2 linked regions of the Drosophila melanogaster genome follow. The gene in region 1 interacts genetically with each later gene. Each region holds a gene or a part of one and is shown on either strand. Other genes may lie near its edges.

What was found.
Region 2: of flr (region 1) and GMF, changing one enhances a phenotype caused by changing the other (phenotypic enhancement), as found in Drosophila melanogaster (one study listed by BioGRID).

What each region holds. Positions count from the first base shown.
Region 1 is NT_037436.4:13,405,509-13,416,953, forward strand, and holds flr (flare), read left to right. Parts: upstream 1-7,334; 5' UTR 7,335-7,433; coding exon 7,434-7,467; intron 7,468-7,497; exon of another isoform or gene 7,498-7,543; coding exon of another isoform or gene 7,544-7,565; intron 7,566-7,808; coding exon 7,809-7,930; intron 7,931-8,549; coding exon 8,550-8,640; intron 8,641-8,828; coding exon 8,829-9,092; intron 9,093-9,157; coding exon 9,158-10,212; intron 10,213-10,268; coding exon 10,269-10,419; intron 10,420-10,486; coding exon 10,487-10,596; 3' UTR 10,597-10,945; downstream 10,946-11,445. Other genes in the region: CG10222 (uncharacterized protein), read right to left, coding at 6,021-6,944. UniProt on the Drosophila melanogaster protein: Induces disassembly of actin filaments in conjunction with ADF/cofilin family proteins. Together with GMF, promotes Arp2/3-nucleated actin filament array disassembly. Essential for organismal and cell viability.
Region 2 is NT_033779.5:16,296,768-16,305,485, reverse strand, and holds GMF (glia maturation factor), read left to right. Parts: upstream 1-2,531; 5' UTR 2,532-2,712; coding exon 2,713-2,715; intron 2,716-2,874; coding exon 2,875-2,968; intron 2,969-3,034; coding exon 3,035-3,225; intron 3,226-3,280; coding exon 3,281-3,409; 3' UTR 3,410-3,830; downstream 3,831-8,718. Other genes in the region: c(2)M (crossover suppressor on 2 of manheim), read right to left, coding at 7-131, 189-323, 382-689, 742-1,126, 1,181-1,364, 1,424-1,704, 1,761-1,924, 2,004-2,134; CG17328 (uncharacterized protein), read right to left, coding at 3,878-4,993, 5,050-5,175; heix (heixuedian), read left to right, coding at 6,174-6,614, 7,293-7,931. UniProt on the Drosophila melanogaster protein: Inhibits Arp2/3-mediated actin nucleation. Together with flr, promotes Arp2/3-nucleated actin filament array disassembly. Promotes debranching. Regulates lamellipodial protrusion dynamics possibly by facilitating lamellipodial retraction.

The sequences.
Region 1 (11,445 bases):
ATTGATAAAATTATTGTTGTTGACCGTGGTTGGCTCTCTTCTGGCCAAAGGAGCCTCGATGGGCGATTAGCCCAAAGCCAAAAGGTTGCTGTTGCCGTTGCGGTGGCCCCAACTGACCATTGCGAAAGGGGTAAGGGGGCGAACCCGACCCCCTTTCGCATGATGATGAAAATCAGCGAGTGCCGCATGGAAAACGAACTGGGAATGTGTATGGTAATGCGGATTGGGGGACCTCGTTCTGGATGCTAGGTGGCCAAATGAAATTTATTTCAATTTCATTTGATATTAATTGCTAATGGCCTTAAGATTGAATTCCAATGGCCTGCCTTATTTGGTGGTGCCCAAGTGGAGGAGGCCAAACAAATCGGGCCAGCGACTTCTCACTCGCGTACTACGAGTATGTTGGTGGCTTGTTAGGATTGTGTTTTTGGAAGCCCCTTCGAGTGGCTGGTGGCGCCACCACAACTATTTTTGGGATACAAATAAGGTACCGACATGGGGTCTCGCCCGCACAAATCTCTGACAGTTGAACGCCGTTTGTCGTTTGTCGTAATTAGCAGGCAAATGGTTAACTTACGATACCTTTACCCTTCTCGTGCCTTCTCCTTCCTCTGGAACTGCATTGGCATTGGGCCGTTTTGACCATTTGTGGCCGAACTGTGCGAAAGTTCAGTAGAACTGACTTTCGAAATGCAAGCGGCAACCCACACGCTGATACAATTAAGCCAAACACATGTCGTCCCCGTCGGAGATAAGCCATTTATTAACTTTTCACAAGACCTCCAAATGATGCCATAATCTCCGCTTTCGGTTAGACATATGGGAGAGAAGCCACGGCTATCTGCAGCGCCGCAAGATGCAAACAGATAGAACGGAAGCTGAATCGCTTGGCTTCCTGCAGAAGGTGGGATGCCCTGAAATTGGGAACTTTACATAGGGAACTTTAAATATAATTTCAAGCAGCTATAGTATACCACAAAGCAATAATAAGGCTTTAAACAATGTATACAAGTTTAGCAATGAACCCATTACTAACCTACATATATTCCAAACCTGTATATTTATATGAATATACAAATTATAGTCGAAAATGGCACATAGATATCATTCCATTGGTCATCCGACTTGATGAAGCCGTAATGCTTTCAGTAAAGACGGTAATTTACTGCTGCTAACTGCGGCTACTGTTTCGCTTCGGGACCTCCAACGAGCGCCGCTTGACAAGATCCCAGGCAGCAAACAAGCCCAAAGGAGCTGAAGCTCGGCCAACAATTGAACTGCAATAAAACAATTTACCCAAAATAGCGCTCGGCCCAAGAGCAATCTGCTGGTTAACCTGGCATCAGACTCCCATGGCACTGAGCAAAATCAGGGCTTGAAACATGTTCCATCATATATGGAAATAAAAGAATAAGCCAGCGATGAGTTACCGGTGGAATTGGATAATATTCCAATGAAATTTTCCATATTAAGATGTTTAATGCTTGCTTTTAATAATGGACATTCAATAGAATATTGTTTCTTTTTACAATAATCGATACGAACTTTGTTAGGTAAATACTTCAGGAAAGTCTTTCAAATATGTATTTTCTTTTTAATAATAATACAGCTTCATATGCACATTGTCTATACTTTTCAAATACATGTATATCGCCCTTATTGCCGCAAATGACACCACAATTGTTTCCAGTGTGCGATTGGCGCTGCTACTGGACTCTGGGCAACATTTATCATTGAAATGTGGCGTGCGGCTTCTACGCAGTCGCCGCAGCAGCCGAGGATGCTTTGCGGCACCAAAACGAGCTCCCGAAACTCTCTTTTGACTTTGGCGGTTTGCTTTGCATGTATGCGGTGTGGCAGGGCCCAAAGGGGCGCAACGCGGCGGGGGGCGTGGCAGTTGGCCGATAAACTAGGCCCAGTCAGTCGCGTAAGTCAGGCGGCAGTCGAATGGGAATGGGCGCAGGAAAATCAATTCATTGGCCCTGAACAGATTTCCCTTTATCTCCGGCAGACCCAAGACCTTTCATCTCTCGACTGGTCGTCGGTCGGCTGATTTGCATATGTTTTGGTACTTTGGAACCTCGGTACTTCGTACGTATGTAGTTGCGACAAAGGCCCTCATAATTGCTTGATTTAGCGACCCATTCAAGGCGAAAAGTCGGCGCCAGCCGCATCTCAGTAACTTGGCTTCCAGGCTAGCACCCGGTGTAAATTGTCGTCCGCGAATGCTACGTGTGGTGCTGCCATTACACTTGTAAAATAGTTGGCCAATAATGGGAAAGCTATGGGGAAGCACAATAAAATACGATTCCGAATAAGTAACTTCGATCTCTGAACCTTATGGTTCCTACAATATACCTTTATAGATACTATATTTATTTTGTCCTTTCTTTCTCTGTTTTTCCAAACAGAAAGTAAGTCTTTTGAGTTCAACATCGAATTCTATATTTTGTATTCCTAAAAAACTTTTTTTTTTAATAGCAACTTACTAAAATCGTAATTTTAATCTCTGTGCAGATTCTTTCTGTGTTTTTTTTTTAGTGGTAGTGGGTGTCTTGTCGCTTAAATTGCCAAGCAATTCATAAGTGTCAACGCGTCTCATATGAACGATGGTAACAAACTTGAGCAAGGGGGAAATGCTGGAGCTGATTTATGAGTTTGCTCGGTTTCCCGAATGGGTTAAGTCACAAATAGAACAAGTTTAAGAGTTCAAGCCGAGATAATATTTTAATAAATCCAAAAAATCACTGTTTTTCATTCCGTACCTTAATCTCTCACTCTCGACTTGTATAACTTTTTTTCGAAATAAATGCACAAAATCGAGTATCCCTGTAGTAAAGAACGGTTTTTTTCAAAACATTCTCGTTCTCTTAAGCTTACTACTTTCCCATCCTGTTGATTTCCAACTGTTCTCGTCTCGGCATACGATCAAAATATTTGCATAAGCAGCGTCCTGAATTACAGTTTAAGCCAGTAAACTCAAGCCAACAGAGTGCAAAGGGCCAACACAGTGGTGAGCAGCGTCATGTGCTCGCTGCAAATACAGATACACAGATACAGATACACCGAACCTGAGGACTTAAAACCCACCGAAGACGACGACGACAGCAGGCACGCGCCCCGATCCCGAATCCAAAACCCGAAAGGCGATTCATGAACTCAGGTACTAAGGGAAGGCAAGAAATGAGCAACAGCAAGGGAAAAACAAAAAAAAAAATACGAAAAAGGACCCAAAAATGTGCAACTGTTGGGCGATCTCATATGATCGCGGTCGGGTGAATAACCCGGAGAGGTTTCTTTAAAGAATCTCGATCTAGTGGAGCTTAGTTTATAATTTTCGACAGGAAAAAGCTGCTGCTGCTGGGAGATGAAAGATCTTATCGTATCTAATATCTGTGCGCGGGTTCGATCAAATTACAGTTCCGGTCAAGATTGAGCATTTGGTTCCGCTTTTTGTTTCGGGGATGAAGACAATGCAGCAGGGGCAACCGTTAACCTTAAGTTAATGATTTGGCCGATGCCTTTGCTTGCTGGTTGCTGCCTGCGCTTCAAGTGCAGCATATGGCATTTTTACTCCTCTTGCTGCGGCTTCAGCACAACTGACGCAGGATACGCAGGATACCCGGCCTACCTACGATCTGGGTTTCGGATCGGCGGCTCACTTCCTATCCTCCACATGGGCCCGCCAATCTGCCCATATCTCGCCCTTCTCTCTCGAGTATGTAAAAAGATCAATCAAATATTGTGTATTCCCTCGCCGAGTTCGATTCTCCCTAGGTGGAATTCTACTCGTATCTAGATGCCCACTTGACTTGGGCTGTTTTTTTAGGCATTTATACCGTGTAATAATAGGGAATGGGGGTGCACAGGGTATCGTTGGGGTATGATGGGTGTAGCGAGCGTATGAGGGGAGTGATAAGAACTGGCCAAGAACGTGGCCAATTGATATGAAAATCGCTATACCTCACGTTTTCGGACGATGTTTTTTTTTTTTGAAACATTCTTTTATTTATCTTTATTAAACGTTAAATGGGATAAATTGAAGTGATTAACTTAAACTCCTTAAATTAAGGGATTCTTGTTAATAGTTCCGTACTTCGTGTTTTCTAGGTCATCTCCTAGTCCTATGCCCTTAGAGCCGAAACTCCTTTATTTTTTTCCGGTTGCTTAGCTGGCACATTTTTCCCCGACTGCCGCTGCTGGTGTGCACCTGCTTTTCGGGAACAGGACGCGCGTCTTTTGACCGCAATCGTTGCCAGGACTGGCCTGGAAAGCAAAACCAAATAGCGCTCTTACAAGCCAGGTCGCTTAACTGTTTAGCCTGACGCGCTTACATCGCAGGGGATCGCACTTATGGCTTTTGAGGACGCGACGAATTATCCTGCAGAGCGTGTGCCAAAAAAACAAGAAACCGCAGCCCGCTGCTTTACACAAATCGCAAAGGCAAAACGAATCCGAGCCCCACTCACTTCGTCCTGGCACGAAACCACTTTCGTTTATTTTAATTTGGCTTGCGGTCAAGGGGATCGGTGCTTTGGGGGATTGGGAATGGGAATGGGGACTGGGGAATTGGCAGCCAGCCTGCTGCAATCTGACAAGAGCCTGCTGCATTTAATAACTGTTTTCGTTTTTGCCGCTGTTTTCTTATGCCCTACAAAGAGGAGCCACCAGCTTAAGCAGAGGGCTTTTAAATATCTTTATAATCAATGCTATACAGCAAATTTATCTTTCATGATTTGTTGTAAACGCTCATTCTTTGGTGAGAAATCCAATAAATTCTTAAAACTCTTTATTCTTTTTTAGCCCTTAAGAGTTTTAAATCCTAAAGCGTATCATTTAAACATGTATAAGGAAGATCCATAACTCCTTTTTAGATTTAAGAACAAGCGTAAATTAGCATAACTTGGCTGGTTTTTAATAAACAACTTTTTCGCTTCATTAAATAAAAGCTACCCGCAAAAGGGGATTCACGAATCGGCTTAAAATAAGATGACTCCTGGTGCTTTTTTATATCCCAACGCGTCTTCCCGTGTCTGCAAGACGGAGCCCCCGAGTGCTCACGACTTGGTCGTGGTATAGGAGTCAATGGCAATCCCGTTTTGTGGTGCACGTGCCACAATTTGCAGCTTGCCACGAGATGTTCACCGGTCGTTCCAGCTCTTATCTCGCAAAACAACGCGCCTCGGACTTAATTAATTTTTATTTATGTTAACGAGGACTTTGCTTTTAGTTAAATCAAAGTATAGGGTTCAGATGCAGATCCTTTTCGACTCAAGTTGAACTTTTGGTTTTTGTATGCTAAAAAGGACGCTTTTGTTTGATTGAAGCCTAACTAATTTACCGAGAAACGTGGGTCTTTTTGATGAGATCTACCAGACTTCGAAATTCATACCTGTTCTTATGTAATAAGTTATTATTTAGTATAAGTTTCTTTATTGATATTTTAGATCAGTTCAATTGTCAATTTTTATTCGCCTAGCAAAGGATATTCTTAAAATCATAATTTATATAAATACAATTTTCTCCATTTGACATATTTTCTGAAAAAGTCAACAAAGCCCAAAAACAAAACAAAACGAAATGATTTTTGTTGTATTTTTTTTTATTAAATTTAATTTAATAATTCTGAATTCAAACCCGTACAATTCTGTACATCTGTAAAATTTTACATACATCATACGTTTTAACGTTTGCAGCGACATCTAGTGGTGGTCTGGATTTTCCAAGTTCAAATGTAGAGTTCTCTTGGTGTTTTCCGATTAGGTGATCCTCAAGTGATTATCAACCATTCTTATTGCAATGTATTTAAACAACTTTAAAGGTTTATTTCCTCTTAAAAATATGTGGTTAGAAAAACAACTAAAAAAGTTTAAGAGTTCAAGCCGAGATAATATTTTAATAAATCCAAAAAATCACTGCTTTTCATTCCGTACCTTAATCCCTCACTCTCGACTTGTATAACTTATTTTCGAAATACAATGCACAATATCACAGGCTATTTTCGATTAGTTTCAGTTCTTTTATTCCATATAGGGTTGGACATCATGCTCCATGCGAGCGGCCTCAGTTTCTGCACCCACGGCGCAGGCTAGTAGTGAGTTGACCGTCTGCTCCTCACCTGCCTTGTAGACGTATCCATTAGCCTTGTCGATGTGATTGCGCAAGCGGAGCATGCTGTCCGTGCTGAAGACGTCCAGCAGTTGGAACGAAACGAGAGCGTAGTCCTCCACCATGGAGCAGATGGCTGCATTCAGTTTTCGATACTTGCGCATGGCGGGATCATCGTCCAGTTTGTCCAGCAGATACTTGAGGTCCAGGACGTCCGTATAATAGTCCACGTTAAAGTGTAACTTGGTCTCGTGCTTCTTTAGCAGATCGGCCTTGGAAAGCACATTAACGTGGGGTAGACTCATCCGCAACATGGTGTTCAATGCCATCAGCAAAGTGGCAATGAATTTGGCAGGCTCCGAGCAGTAATGGGAATCTATAAGGTTAACGGTGACCAGGCTATATCTTTCACGCTCCAAACGCTCGAAAATCCGGGCCATAGCGTTGTGATGGGTATATAGCTCAACTTGGCCGGGACAGTCGAACAGGAAGTAGTTGTAAGTGGCGCTTAGTTTGCGCAGTGCCGGCAACAGCCAATCCTCCAAATGGTCGGCCAGATACTCAGCGCAGTGCATTAGAGCTCCGTTTGGTCCCAGCTTCAGGTGCTCCATGCAATCCTCCACAGTGATTAGCTCCATCACACTTAGCACCGGTTCGTAGGACATGTTTTCGTTGGCTGGATCCAGATTCACAACGCCCACCTGACGGCCCAGTTCGCGATAGAACTTAAGGGCCTCACCGCAATAGGTGGTTTTCCCAGAACCAGGAGGTCCTATGATTAGCTGTCCATAACGTGGATTCTCCACGGTCGCCTGCGTCGGAAATCTTTGCATCATTCTTGCGGAAAATGAAAAATATAAACAATGGTAGAGGTGGGGAACCACAGAGACCGATTAATTTATTTGGCGCAATTTATCGATATTTAGATAGTTTTTGAAAAATATACATTTTATTAAATTAGATAAAAATACAATTTTGATTATATATTTCCTTTTCAAATATAGGAAATTGAAAACTCAATCCCAAAAAAAAAAACAATTTTTTAGTGTATAATTAAAAACGGTAGCAATTAGTAGTTACTGTTAGTATAAAACACAGAACAATATATTTTTAATTTCCTTCCAGTTCACTTCGCTGTTAAAAAGGGGTAAACGCAGCGCAAAGTCGATATAAAGCAAAGAAAAAACCATCGATGACGACGATGGTGAAAACATCGATCTTAGCCCACCACTAATCGTCGGCGAACTTGAGTTTGGTGTTTTCATTTATCCGCGGAATTTCGCACTAATTAGTAAAGGCTTCAGGAGCACCGAGAAATCACCAGAATGGCACAACCCCAACCACCGGCGTACGAAAACAGTGAGTTGGAATCCCACAGAGATAAACTGGAGTCATGAATCCGATCCCACTCCGAATGTGATACGTAGAGAGGGGGATGAGTCAACAGGCGAAAAACGGTAAAAGCAGAAAGCAATCGCCGGAAGCACCGTGATTATGCCCATAAATGGGCATAGATGCATATGAAAGACCTTTTTAAGCAGTAAGAGGAGGCGCGTGTGGAGCCGTTGGAGCGACCCCGTTCCCGTTCGCTCCCCAAAAACGAAGCCGCACCCTATTTTCCACCCACTCCAATTTGCCGGCGTTATCTGAGTAGCAGCAGTCACAGCCCATTTCTAATCGAAATAATCGCTTAATTGCAGAAAACATCTACGCAACTCTGCCGCGCACCCAACGCGGCCAACCCATCGTTTTGGGTGCCGATCCCAAGGGCAAGAACTTCCTGTACACCAATGGAAACTCTGTGATCATCCGGAACATCGAGGTAAGCTGATATATGCTGCAGCCTGCTGCTCCGTTCCTGCCATAAATCCATGGCATTTACGTCCAAATGGTGTTTTATTTTTGGACAGGCTGCAGTTTCTGTTGCCAGTTTGTGTGTGCTTTCTGGCTTTCGGGCAGCTGTTCTATATTTATTTATATATATATGTACAGTATATAAGGCGCAAAACACAGATTCCCATTCCACAGGCCAACCGGCAAAACACAGACTGGCACATAGATACATTTCTTGTTTGCCGCCCACGCATCATCATTATGATGTTTTCATCTGGTCAAAGTGATTCTTCACAGCAGCTATGTGTTTGCCTATCTTTCACCCATTGAATCGGTATAAATTCAAAATATTTCCATGTTTCTTTGTCTTTTGTCCCGATAATCCCGCCACTTCTATGGTATCTTTAATGATCAAGAAATAAAATCTTCCGCCAAAAGATATTCAGGTTCTGGAAAATGAAATGTTAATGAAGGAAACATACATAACAAATTCAAAACCAAACACCTATGTTCATAATTAGGATCCCATTTACCATTAATTTGTTTTAATTTGCTAAAAGTGTCTCTAAAATATGTATGTATGCTTTTCCCTTTCTTCCGCACCATAGAATCCAGCCATTGCCGATGTCTACACGGAGCACTCGTGTGCAGTGAACGTGGCCAAGTACTCGCCCAGCGGATTTTATATTGCATCTGGTGGTAAGTCTCGCCCAGCAATTTCACACTTGGAGCACCCGGCTTTCGGCAACAGAGCATAAAAATCGTGACCACTATGAGTCACGCCACGGTCATGATTAGCATTTCCTTATTTGGAGCGGTTTCTTTATCTTATCTGCGGTTTTGAAGCGAGCAATGTTATTTATTTGGCTTTCTCCTCTTCTCACCAGACGCCTCCGGCAAGATTCGCATTTGGGACACGGTCAACAAGGAGCACCTGCTTAAAAATGAGTTCCAGCCCATTGCAGGACCCATCAAGGATATTAGCTGGTCGCCAGACAATCAGCGCATCGTTGCCGTGGGTGAAGGACGCGAACGTTTCGGTCATGTCTTTATGTCTGAAACCGGCACGTCTGTGGGCGAGATCAGTGGCCAGTCCAAGTCTATTAACTCGGCGGACTTCCGGCCAGCCAGGCCATTCCGCATTGTTACGGGTGAGTTCACATAATAGTCCCAAAATGCAATAAACTTACTTACACACACACACTTGTTATTACAGGCAGCGAAGACAATACTATCGCCGTGTTCGAGGGACCCCCGTTCAAGTTCAAGATGACCAAGCAGGATCACTCTCGCTTCGTCCAGGCTGTGCGCTACTCGCCCGATGGCAAATTCTTCGCCTCCGCCGGCTTTGATGGCAAAGTCTTTCTGTACGATGGCACCAGCTCTGAACTGGTGGGCGAATTTGGATCTCCTGCCCACAAGGGCGGCGTTTACGCATTGGCCTGGAAACCAGACAGCACCCAACTGCTAACCTGCTCCGGCGACAAGACGTGCCGCCTTTGGACAGTGGAGTCGCGCGAGCTGGTTAGCGAGTTTGTGATGGGCACCACTGTGGACGACCAGCAGGTGTCCTGCTTGTGGCAAGGAGACAACCTAATCACCGTCTCGCTTTCGGGCGTGATCACCTACCTCAATGTGGCGGATCCCTCGAAACCGCTGCGTGTGGTGAAGGGCCACAATAAGCCCATCACCGTGCTGGGACTGAGCGATGACCGCAGCACCATATACACGGGTAGCCACGATGGCGTGGTGACCAACTGGAACTCGGGCAGCGGCACCAACGATCGCATCACGGGCACTGGACACGGAAACCAGATCAACGGCATTGCCGCCTGGGGTGACTTTGTCTATACCTGTGGCATCGACGACAGCCTACGCCAGTTCAGCGTGGAGGGCAACTCCTACACGGACTATGTGGTGAAGCTTAACTGCCAGCCACGTGGCTTGGCCATTTTGCGCAACGAGAACATCATTGCACTTGCTTGCATCAAAGAGTTGACTCTCGTGCAGGACCAGAAGAAGATCTTTTCGCTGCCCATTAAGTACGAGGCTAGCTCGATTGCCGTTAATGCGGACACTTCCGATGTTGCTGTCGGCGGGGATGACCAAAAGTTGCACATCTACACCCTGAAGGGCGGAGTATTGGAGCCCAAAGTGGAGCTGGATCACTTGGGAGCTGTCACGGATGTTTCTTATTCGCCGGACTTGAAGTATTTGGTGGCTTGCGATGCCCATCGCAAGGTGGTGCTCTACTCAGTGGAGGAGTACAAGGTATTAAGGAATCATAAATGTCTTAATTCCATTACTAATCGAGTGTATTTTAAAAGCCTGCACACAACAAGGAGTGGGGCTTCCACAGTGCTCGCGTAAATACGGTGGCCTGGTCGCCCAACTCGCTGCTGGTTGCTAGTGGATCATTGGACACTACTATCATTATCTGGTCCGTGGCCAATCCGGCCAAACATACTATCATCAAGAGTAAGTATTTCAAAAAGAGTAGTAAGCTTTAAGCGATATCTGACATATTGTTTTCTGCCCACTCCAGATGCCCATCCGCAGTCGCAAATCACTCGGTTGGTCTGGCTGGACAATAACACTGTGATCTCCACCGGACAGGACTGCAACACCAAGGTGTGGCACGTGGAAAACATTTAAATGCGCCGGCCGTGAAGCATATTTTTATACTTATCCAGGGAGAGCAGCCAGCAGCGCCCTGGCTTCATTTCATTTAAGTGCAACAGTTTACATTTAGATATTTATGTCTTTTTCCCCGCCCTCCCCGCACACCTCATGTCATGTCTTTAATTTTAAGCCAAAAGTGTTTGCTAATCATCATATCATGGATATTCAACTACTTTGCCCCACTATCATTTTCGTATGTGTTTTTCGAACAATTTTTATACTACTGGAACTACGAACTACGAAAGGAAACACAAAGATATGTAAAGTACGCCAGCGTACATAAATTATTGTATTATGAAATGAAATATACTAGTTTTTGCATAGCTCGCCGATTACTTTTCTCCATTTGGTTGCGATCGGGAAAATTAGCTAAACACGCACAATTTCTTTGGCTTCTTAAACATTTATTCCTTTGAAAATTGTGTTTTTTTTTTTTTTTGGTTTGGTAGGTCTTCACCCTGTCTTTTTGTGTGCAAGTGTGTGTGCGTGTTCAGGTGTATAATTACAATATTTATAAAAACTTGGCTTAGATTACTAGAATGTGTGGACGTGTGCTTGTGAGAGAGCGTGAAAGCGAAAGGATTGTGTTTGTAACTTGCAGTTTGAGAGCCTCGGAGGTTGCTAAAGTTTCAGAAAAAATAAACGTAAATTGTGCTAAACGTAAGTACATAAATTAAGATAGCTAGAAAGGCGCTCGAGTGCAGAAGACGAAAAACGAATTGCGCTAATTATCACAGCCGGGTCTAAGACGTTGGTTTCGGTGGGACTAAAAGTTGACATATTCATATGTTGGGCACCTCATGAGTGGGTGATGAAAATTGG
Region 2 (8,718 bases), on another chromosome or scaffold:
AAATATTCACAGAGTCTCACTCAGCATAAGATTGTCTATTAGCTTAGCGGACTCTTTGCCAAGAGTAATTTGGTACATTTCCAGCGAATTAGCTCGCTTTGATATCTCTATAAAATGGTCTCGAACAAGATCTGAAATTTAAGCTATACGTTATTTCCAACACACATTTTGTTCTTTTTCGAACTCACACAACAAATGGAGAAAGGCTAACGAAGCCTTGATGCGACTATCAAACGTTTTTATAAAATCAATGGCATCGATTCCCGTGATTTTCGGATTATTACGCCAAATGCTTAAGAGACTCATCATTACGCTGTAGGTATCTGCAATGAGATTATATTTTATTTACGATAGCATGTTGTAAACATTGGCTGAACTCACCATCATGATTATCCTCACGGTATATGCCGTGCTCATTCATTTCATTATGATAATTCTGATTTACATCATCACGTGGCTGAAGTTGAGGTTGCACACAGTCTTCCACTTCAAGCGGTTCGGGCTGATAGATATGTGCCGCTTTATCCCTACATTTTGTAGCCTGCGATGGTCGCACAAATATCTCTTTAGAAAGATTCTCGGTAAACTCGCAGCCAAATATGGTTCTCAATGTGTTTTCTGCCTCGAATTCCTTTTCTTCATTACTGAGCTTAGGTCCGGAGTGGTTATGAAGAGCTAAAAAACTTACACTACATCAAAAAATTAAAAAGTTTTAAATAGCAAAATGTATAAGGCTCCTACTTATTATACAGTTTACAGAGAAGTTCCTTAGGGGGTTTCCGTAAATCCGAGGATTTTGGCACTATCACATTCCTTGAAAGGTATTCTTCCATATATTTCTGTCTATGCTTCACCAGCTGCTCCCGGGTGTATTCAATTCGTTTGTCTACTATTAGCTTTCTTTTCCGATTTTTCGGGTGGCTAAATGTTATTTCTCCAAAAGAATTTAAAACGGATGGCAACGACGGTTCACAAACTATCTGAGTTACTTCAGCTGGTTCAATGTTATGCGGAAAGATTTGGGTCATGATAGCATTGTCAGCTTGGAAAACATCGCAATCATCCAATCTGGGCATTTTATCCGGTAAGATGTCAGTTGGATCCTGAGCTATTGAGTGTCGCTTTACTATAATACAAAAAAATAGTTTATTACATTTTCAATTGAATTGAGAATTCTTACGTGAGTTCCGTGTGCCATCTTTGGGGTAAAGCTCTTGAAAAATGGTTAAGTCCGCGCCCTCGGCTTCGCCAAAACCATTTGATGGCATAATTAAGCTATGATCTTCGGGAAGTTCAATCTCTTCGGTGATTGTAATGGAATGATACGACTTTGACTGAGTGCAACTCCGGGGTTGTTCAATAGACTTTTTGCGAAAAATGAAATCATATAAGGAAGCAGTCCAACAGTATATTGACGACTAACCTCGTTCAGGTCCTCCACCACCTGTTGTGTGCACTCCGTTTGCCACATCTGGCATTCGGATAGCATCTTCTCGTAGTATTCATGTGAGAATTCATCCAATAGATCCGATTCCTGCAGTCTGGGACGTTTTGATACTGTTACTTTAGATTTCTTGGTGATCACCCGCTTTCCTTTGCGTTGGATTCGAATCTCTGATTTGTTGACCACTACGGATTTTGTTGTGGTGAGAACGTAATCCAAGTTGGTACGTGTACATTGGTCAAGTAATACCTTCGTGTCCCCTGTAAGAATTCGTGATTATATATCAATGTTACGTAATATTCGGACTAATACTTACCCAAAAGTAGATCCACTTGGCATCTAAAAATATCCGCAACTCCAAAAACCAAGCGGGAAATGTCCTTGAAAATAACATTTTGCCGGTTTCTTGCGGCCAAAACATTGGATCGTTTCTGGCGTTTTCTTAATGCATTTTCCTCAATTAATTCGGTGATTTGCTTGCTGAAATGTAGATAAATGTTGAAAACAATTGAATATAATGAAATGTTAAAAAAATTCATTATATTTAATATTTAATTACCAGCAGGCGACTACATCCACATCAGCGATCTCATTTCGATTAAGTTGGCCAAATGCCGATTTCCTCGGTTTGCGCCCTCCCGCTTTCCAGCAGGAATTAAGGATGTTGCTCTCATATAAATTCAAGCTCATTGTAACTACGACATTAAGCACATAGATTATAGTATTAACTATTTATAAGTTAGTGCTCTCTGTAACAACCCTAAAGTAACGGTACTTTTTTGACAGTCCATCAGCCACTAGAGAGGACAAACATGATCCAAATATCGTATACGAACGATTTTTACCTACTATAAAATAATGATAAGTTTTAAGTATATCTACAAAACATTTTTAAAAAAGAGCGTTCCTATTTCAATCTAAAAAATACATTTCAATTATTTTTAATAAATTCCATAAATAATACCAATGTTGCCGTAAAGAAAAAAGCTTAATGAAAAAAAAACCTTTAGCAAATATTGTTATTATTTTTTAATTTATCAGAAACGTCGTTTAACAACACTTCACATATTTTTGATGCAGCACAGAATATTATTTGGCGTTCAGTGAACGGTCTCACTGCAGGAACAACAAAACAAAACTCAGAATAAACGACAGTATTTAAACGATTCCTTAAGGACAAGTGATATTGCATTCCTACAATTAACTGCCAAAAATTCGGTAGTGCAGCACACTTTACAGATCGCATCCCTAACTTCATAGCTAAAGTTATGGTAGGAAGTGTATATAGGGTCGGAAATCAATTACCAAAATGAAAACATGACTAATAGAGTGTGGGCGTGTTTTTGTTTTTGTTTTTCAATCGACGATTGTTGTTAGCAGATAACTTTGGTGATTCCAATTCATTAATCAATTATATCGATTTCATACAGAGTGATAACCAGATATGCGACATAAGCAACGAAGTTCTGGAGGAATTGAAGAAGTTTCGATTCAGCAAGAGCAAAAATAATGCGGCTTTGATATGTAAGCCTTGATTGTCATGGTAACAGATGTGTGTAGTTTTTATGACCACTCCATTGTCCCTTGCAGTGAAAGTCGACCGGGAGAAGCAAACGGTGGTGCTGGACGAGTTCATCGACGATATTTCGGTGGACGAGCTGCAGGATACATTGCCAGGACACCAGCCCCGATATGTCATCTATACGTATAAAATGGTCCATGACGATCAGCGCATTTCGTACCCAATGTGCTTCATATTCTACACACCCAGGGATAGCCAGGTGGGAGTTTAGCAATGCTCAAATATATTCTATAATTCATAACTCTCTGTTTCAGATCGAATTGCAGATGATGTACGCCTGCACGAAGAGCGCTCTTCAGCGCGAAGTAGATCTCACACGCGTCTACGAGATACGCGAACTAGACGAACTCACCGAGGAGTGGCTGAAAGCCAAGCTCAAGTAGAGAGGTTTCGATCTCTGGGATCAATCAATCCGGGCCGTTGTCAAAAGCAATATTTTATGATAGTTCTCTGATTGATTTTTGAGCTTTTTATATACATATTCAAACTGGATTAAGCCGATACCAACGATGCATACCAATACCAAACAAACCAATATTGAGATACTACAATTTTTACCTACAGAAAACACAAATCAAGCTTAGTTTATACAACAATGACATTTTTATATCGACGACAAGTATGCGACAAGTACGCGCGGGGAGTTTTTAGTGATTTTAGTTCTTGCATTTAAGTAATAATCTTAATAGAAGCTGTGCTTGCCAAATTTCTACATGTATTTATTGTAAAGATATAAAAGCAAACATGACAAAATATTCCATTTTATATAGACAAACTAAATAAAAGTGTTCAATATCAAAACATAATCTAAAACAATAATTATGATTAAGATAAATCTTCGTAGCTATACTCTAATAATGTAGTCTTTGTGCCGCCGTGTGGTGCAGCATAGTGTAACGTCCTTCACTTGGCGTTGGCGGTGGAGGCGGCGGCGGTGCCAACATGTGAGCCATTGCAGCCATTCCCATTTGTGTGGCGGGATTCGGTGGGCCGAGATGATGCAGTGCATCGTGATGGTAGTGATGCGACATAGGTGGTGCAGGAGGCAACGGCAAATTCAGTAGATTATTATTCGCCGCATGCGTGCGAAAATGTAGACTTAGGCTGTCCGCCGTATCAAATGCCTTGTCGCAATCCGGACACTTGAAGTGGGCGTGATCGAGGGTGTCCAGACCCACGGGATCCGTGTCTATAGCCTCATCATCATCATCATCCACTATATCATGGTTTGTACTGGACTCCAGAGGATGAAGCTTCAATTTATGAGTCCGCATATCTCTTCGCCTGCTGAAAGCCTTGCCGCAGACATCGCAGTGATGGTTTTTGATGCCCGTATGGGTTATCATGTGCTTGGAGAGATCACCGGCGGTGTAGAAACCTTTCTGACATAGCGAGCATACCTGATCCCGCACTCCTAAATGAATCTTCTGGTGCGCCTGGAAATTGCCTAACGCGGAAAACTGCTTTGAGCAGATCTCACACTGAAAAGGCTTGTCGCCCGTGTGCGTTCTTTCGTGGACTTTAAGATTGTACTTTTGGGCGAATCTCTGGATACAAAAGCTGCATTGGTAGGGTTTCTCGCCAGTATGTGTTCTTATATGCTGTGTTAATTGGGCAATGCATTTGAAGCTTTTGTGGCACTCGTAGCAGGTGTGGGGCATCTTTGGCACAGGTTTGGGCCCCCGTTTTTTGTGCTCTTCTGGCGGCTTTCTTTGATAGCGCGACCGCCTCTTGCTCACTTTGGCATCCACGGGTTCCTCTTCATCGCTATCGCGCTGCGGAAGCAACGGCTTCTCCACAAAGTCCGTATTGGTGGCCGCATCCTGGCGCCAGGATTCCAGAATGCCCAGATATTGTCGCAGTCGGAGATCACTGTTTTCGCATTCCTGCTTGAAGTGGAAGGCCACCCCCAGCCGGTAAATACAGTTGTTGCAGATCACCGAAGGTAGGCCATCGGTTTTAAAAACCTAAAACAATTTCCATATGCCAATTAACATTGAAATATTTTGTTTTTAGAACCCACTCTTATTTTAGCGCATTGCATCAACATTACGGAGGGCATCATAGCAAAGTCTGTACTATATATCGAAGTTACAGGATGTAGTTCCTCCAGGCAAACTCTGCATATTTTGTGGATATTATAGTCCATGTTTTATTTCAATTTTATAGAAATCAACAAAAAAATTATTGAAAATTTTGCTCTAAACTCCTATCAGCTGATTGGGACCAGGGCTGCAACGGTACAGTCGTAACTCTAGCTTGTGAAACAAATCTATCATATATGATTAAATTTGTTTCGCGTGTTTAAAATGAATTTCATACTCAATGTGGATTCATTTCCGCAAATATGCAAAAGATATAGTAATATTTTGGTGAGCTACTTCAACTACTAATTACGTTGATAAGTGTTGATAACAATGATTACATAAATATTTAAAACCCACCTTTGTTTTACGAATTATATAAAAAATGCACATACATGTACCGCTAAATATTTATTGCATATTATCTGAATTATTTTCATTTATGAAATTTGGGTAAAAACTGTAGGAATAGGCAGGGCTGCACATGCGATACGGCGTTGCCACCTTCAACGAAAAAGTGTAACCTTTTTTCGTTTTTGCGCTGACGTGACGTGACAGTTGATTTGTTTGATTAAAATAACTAAGAGTAAAATCGCAGCCAAATCGATTTGCGCCACTAACCCGGAATCGATAGCCGGAAGCAAAGACGCAGCCGGAAAAGGAGAGGCATATAAGAAGAACGATCCTCGCACCGGTCGAGGAAAAGAGAGAGAGAGAGAGGGGCAGCGAGAGAGAGAGAGCGTGAGAAACTGGGAGCTGCACGGGTGAAATTTCGTGGTTTCGGGACCCCGACCACCTGAGCTCTCCACCCCCCGCTGATAATATACATATCCCCGCATATATTCCCCACTTTCAAGATGCTGTGTATACAATATTAGCGATTATCGAGACCAGGCAGCGCATGTGCCGGCATCCAAAAAGGCACAAATTGAATACTTTAACTATTGTAAACAAATTCTGGAGAGGAGGTGACCAAGGTCAAACAATCCGACGAATACGAATACCTGGCGGCTAGTCTCGTTTCACTCCACCGCAAAGTGCCAGTTAACCAGTGCCGCTTGCCATGGCCACAAGCAGCCAGCTGTTGCCCAATGGCAACTTGTCCAGGAATGGCAAGACCAAGACAGAGGACGGTGAGGAGGTGGAAGCCGTTGTTGGAGCTCGTGCAGCAGGTGCAGATGCCGGAGTAGCACTAACGGGACGACTAACAGGACACCCATCCACATCCGGAACGTTTATGAAACTGAAAACCTATCTCCTAGCTCTGCGTCCCTGGTCGCTGTCCGCCAGTCTGGTTCCAACGCTGCTCGGCTCAGCCCTGGCCTACCGCTCCCAGTGGGCGGAGGAGTTTTCGCTGGCCACCTTCTTTCTCACCGCCTTCACCGTGGTCACCGTCCACTGCGCCGGCAACGTAGTTAACACCTATTTCGACTTCATCAAGGGCATTGACAAGCAGAAAGCCGACGACCGCACGCTGGTGGATCACATACTCACCAAGGATGAGGTGAGCAATCGAACGGATGGATCAATCAAGCCAATAGAGTGCAGATCCGTCCATAGAGCATAGAGCCTACTCTTATCCTTCGGAAAGTAAAACTTCAAAAAAGTAAAATTCAAACATTTTTCGATTTTTCTGACGTGTTCACCAAAATTCCACATTTGCAAATACAGTATTCCGAAAAATCAAATTATATGCAAAGAAACTCGCGAGCACTTCTAAATCTTTAATGGCAAAACGTGATATTTAAATTCAAATTTGTCAGTGGCGAAGCAAAGATTCTCAAATTTTCTTTTTAAATTAACAAAAACAATTTTAAACACCTAAAATATTTGAAAATGCATTCAGTGTATGTGTGTACATTTCAGATGAACAGAAATTAAATTAGTTTTATATACGTTCAGAAAAAAACGTGCCGAAATCATAAACCATTTTGGAAGCGAAAACAATATCAAGAATTGGTAGCAATTAGCAAGGTACTAATTCAAATCAAGGGCAAATATATTAGAGAGTATTCAAACAATAATACTTTTAAATTTATAATTTTATCGAATTTCTATAGGACAATTTTTTCCGTTTTATAATGGAATTTAATTGGAATATGCATAAATTAATTATGACAGCATGACAGCAGATTTAATCCTTATCCGCAATTATAAATAATAAATATTTGTTAATTTGCAGGTGGTATCGCTGGGTGCCATTCTGTACATGGCTGGCTGTGGAGGATTTGTTTTGCTGGCTGTGCTCAGTCCGGCGAAAATGGAGCACCTGGCACTGATCTACTTCGGGGGATTGTCCTCGAGCTTCCTGTACACCGGAGGCATTGGTTTCAAGTACATCGCCCTGGGAGATCTGGTTATACTGATACTCTTTGGACCCATCTCGGTGCTATTCGCCTTCATGTCGCAAACAGGTCATTTGGACTGGACGACAATGGGCTATGCGATTCCTTTGGCTCTCAACACGGAGGCCATCCTGCACAGCAACAACACAAGGGATGCGGACAACGATCGCCGGGCTGGAATCGTAACGCTCGCCATTTTGATAGGCCGTACAGCATCGCACGTTCTGTATGCCATGCTGCTCTTTGCACCCTACTCATTGTTCTTCATCTTCGGTTTGAAGTACTCTCTGTGGTTCCTGCTGCCGCTGGTAACCCTGCCGCAAGCGTTCCAGATTGAGAAACGTTTCCGCAACGAACAGACGATGCATCTGGTGCCTCGGCAAACAGCCAAGCTGAACTTCTTTTTTGGCATCTTGTACGTGGTGGCCTGCTGTTGTGCCCATCAGTTGCCCACCTTTGGATTGCGAAGAAATTGATAGACGGGTTAAACGTACGGATCTGGCGGAAAATCTGAATCAGTGAGAACCTGGTGCAATGTTTTAGGGAATTTCATTAGGTTTTAGTCAATGTGAGTAACATAAAGGATGGGAGAATGAAGCTTTGTCAGCTTCTCACAGTTTGACGTTGCGCAAATTTCGAATGCTGCTAGTCGCCCGTTTGATTCTAAACTTTTGAACTGAACATATCCTAGCCCTAATGGGTCGATTAACTTGAGAGAAAACCTATGGTTAATGTAAGACATTTTGAAATACGGATTACAGTCCTAGTATCAGCTTAACAGTTTACTATTTCGTTTCCAAACGATAATCCATAGGCATTGTGCAAACATAAATGGAATTTAATCCAATTGGATAAGCTAAAAAGTCTCTAACCAAATGCATACTTAAAATAAATATTAACATTATTTGGCAAATATTTTGATAGTCAAATGTTAAGATCTGAAACATTTTATTTGCTTTCAAGTTGTTTAAACCAAAAGTATGATATTAGACAATTAATTTCTATGTCAAAAATTGCTTAAATTGCCCAAAGGTTTGGCGACCATCGACCTTAACCTATCCCACTCGCTTTTTATTTATTTCATATCGTCTCAATTTTAAGTCCTAACCAATCAATGTTATTAATAATAATCATACTCTTCCTCTCGCTCGTTGGGAATCACGGACCAAGAACGTTTTGTGCAGCAGCAACCAACCAATAATTGTAATTCAACTCACTTTTATATTATTCGAAACAATATATATATTTATATATATCACCACA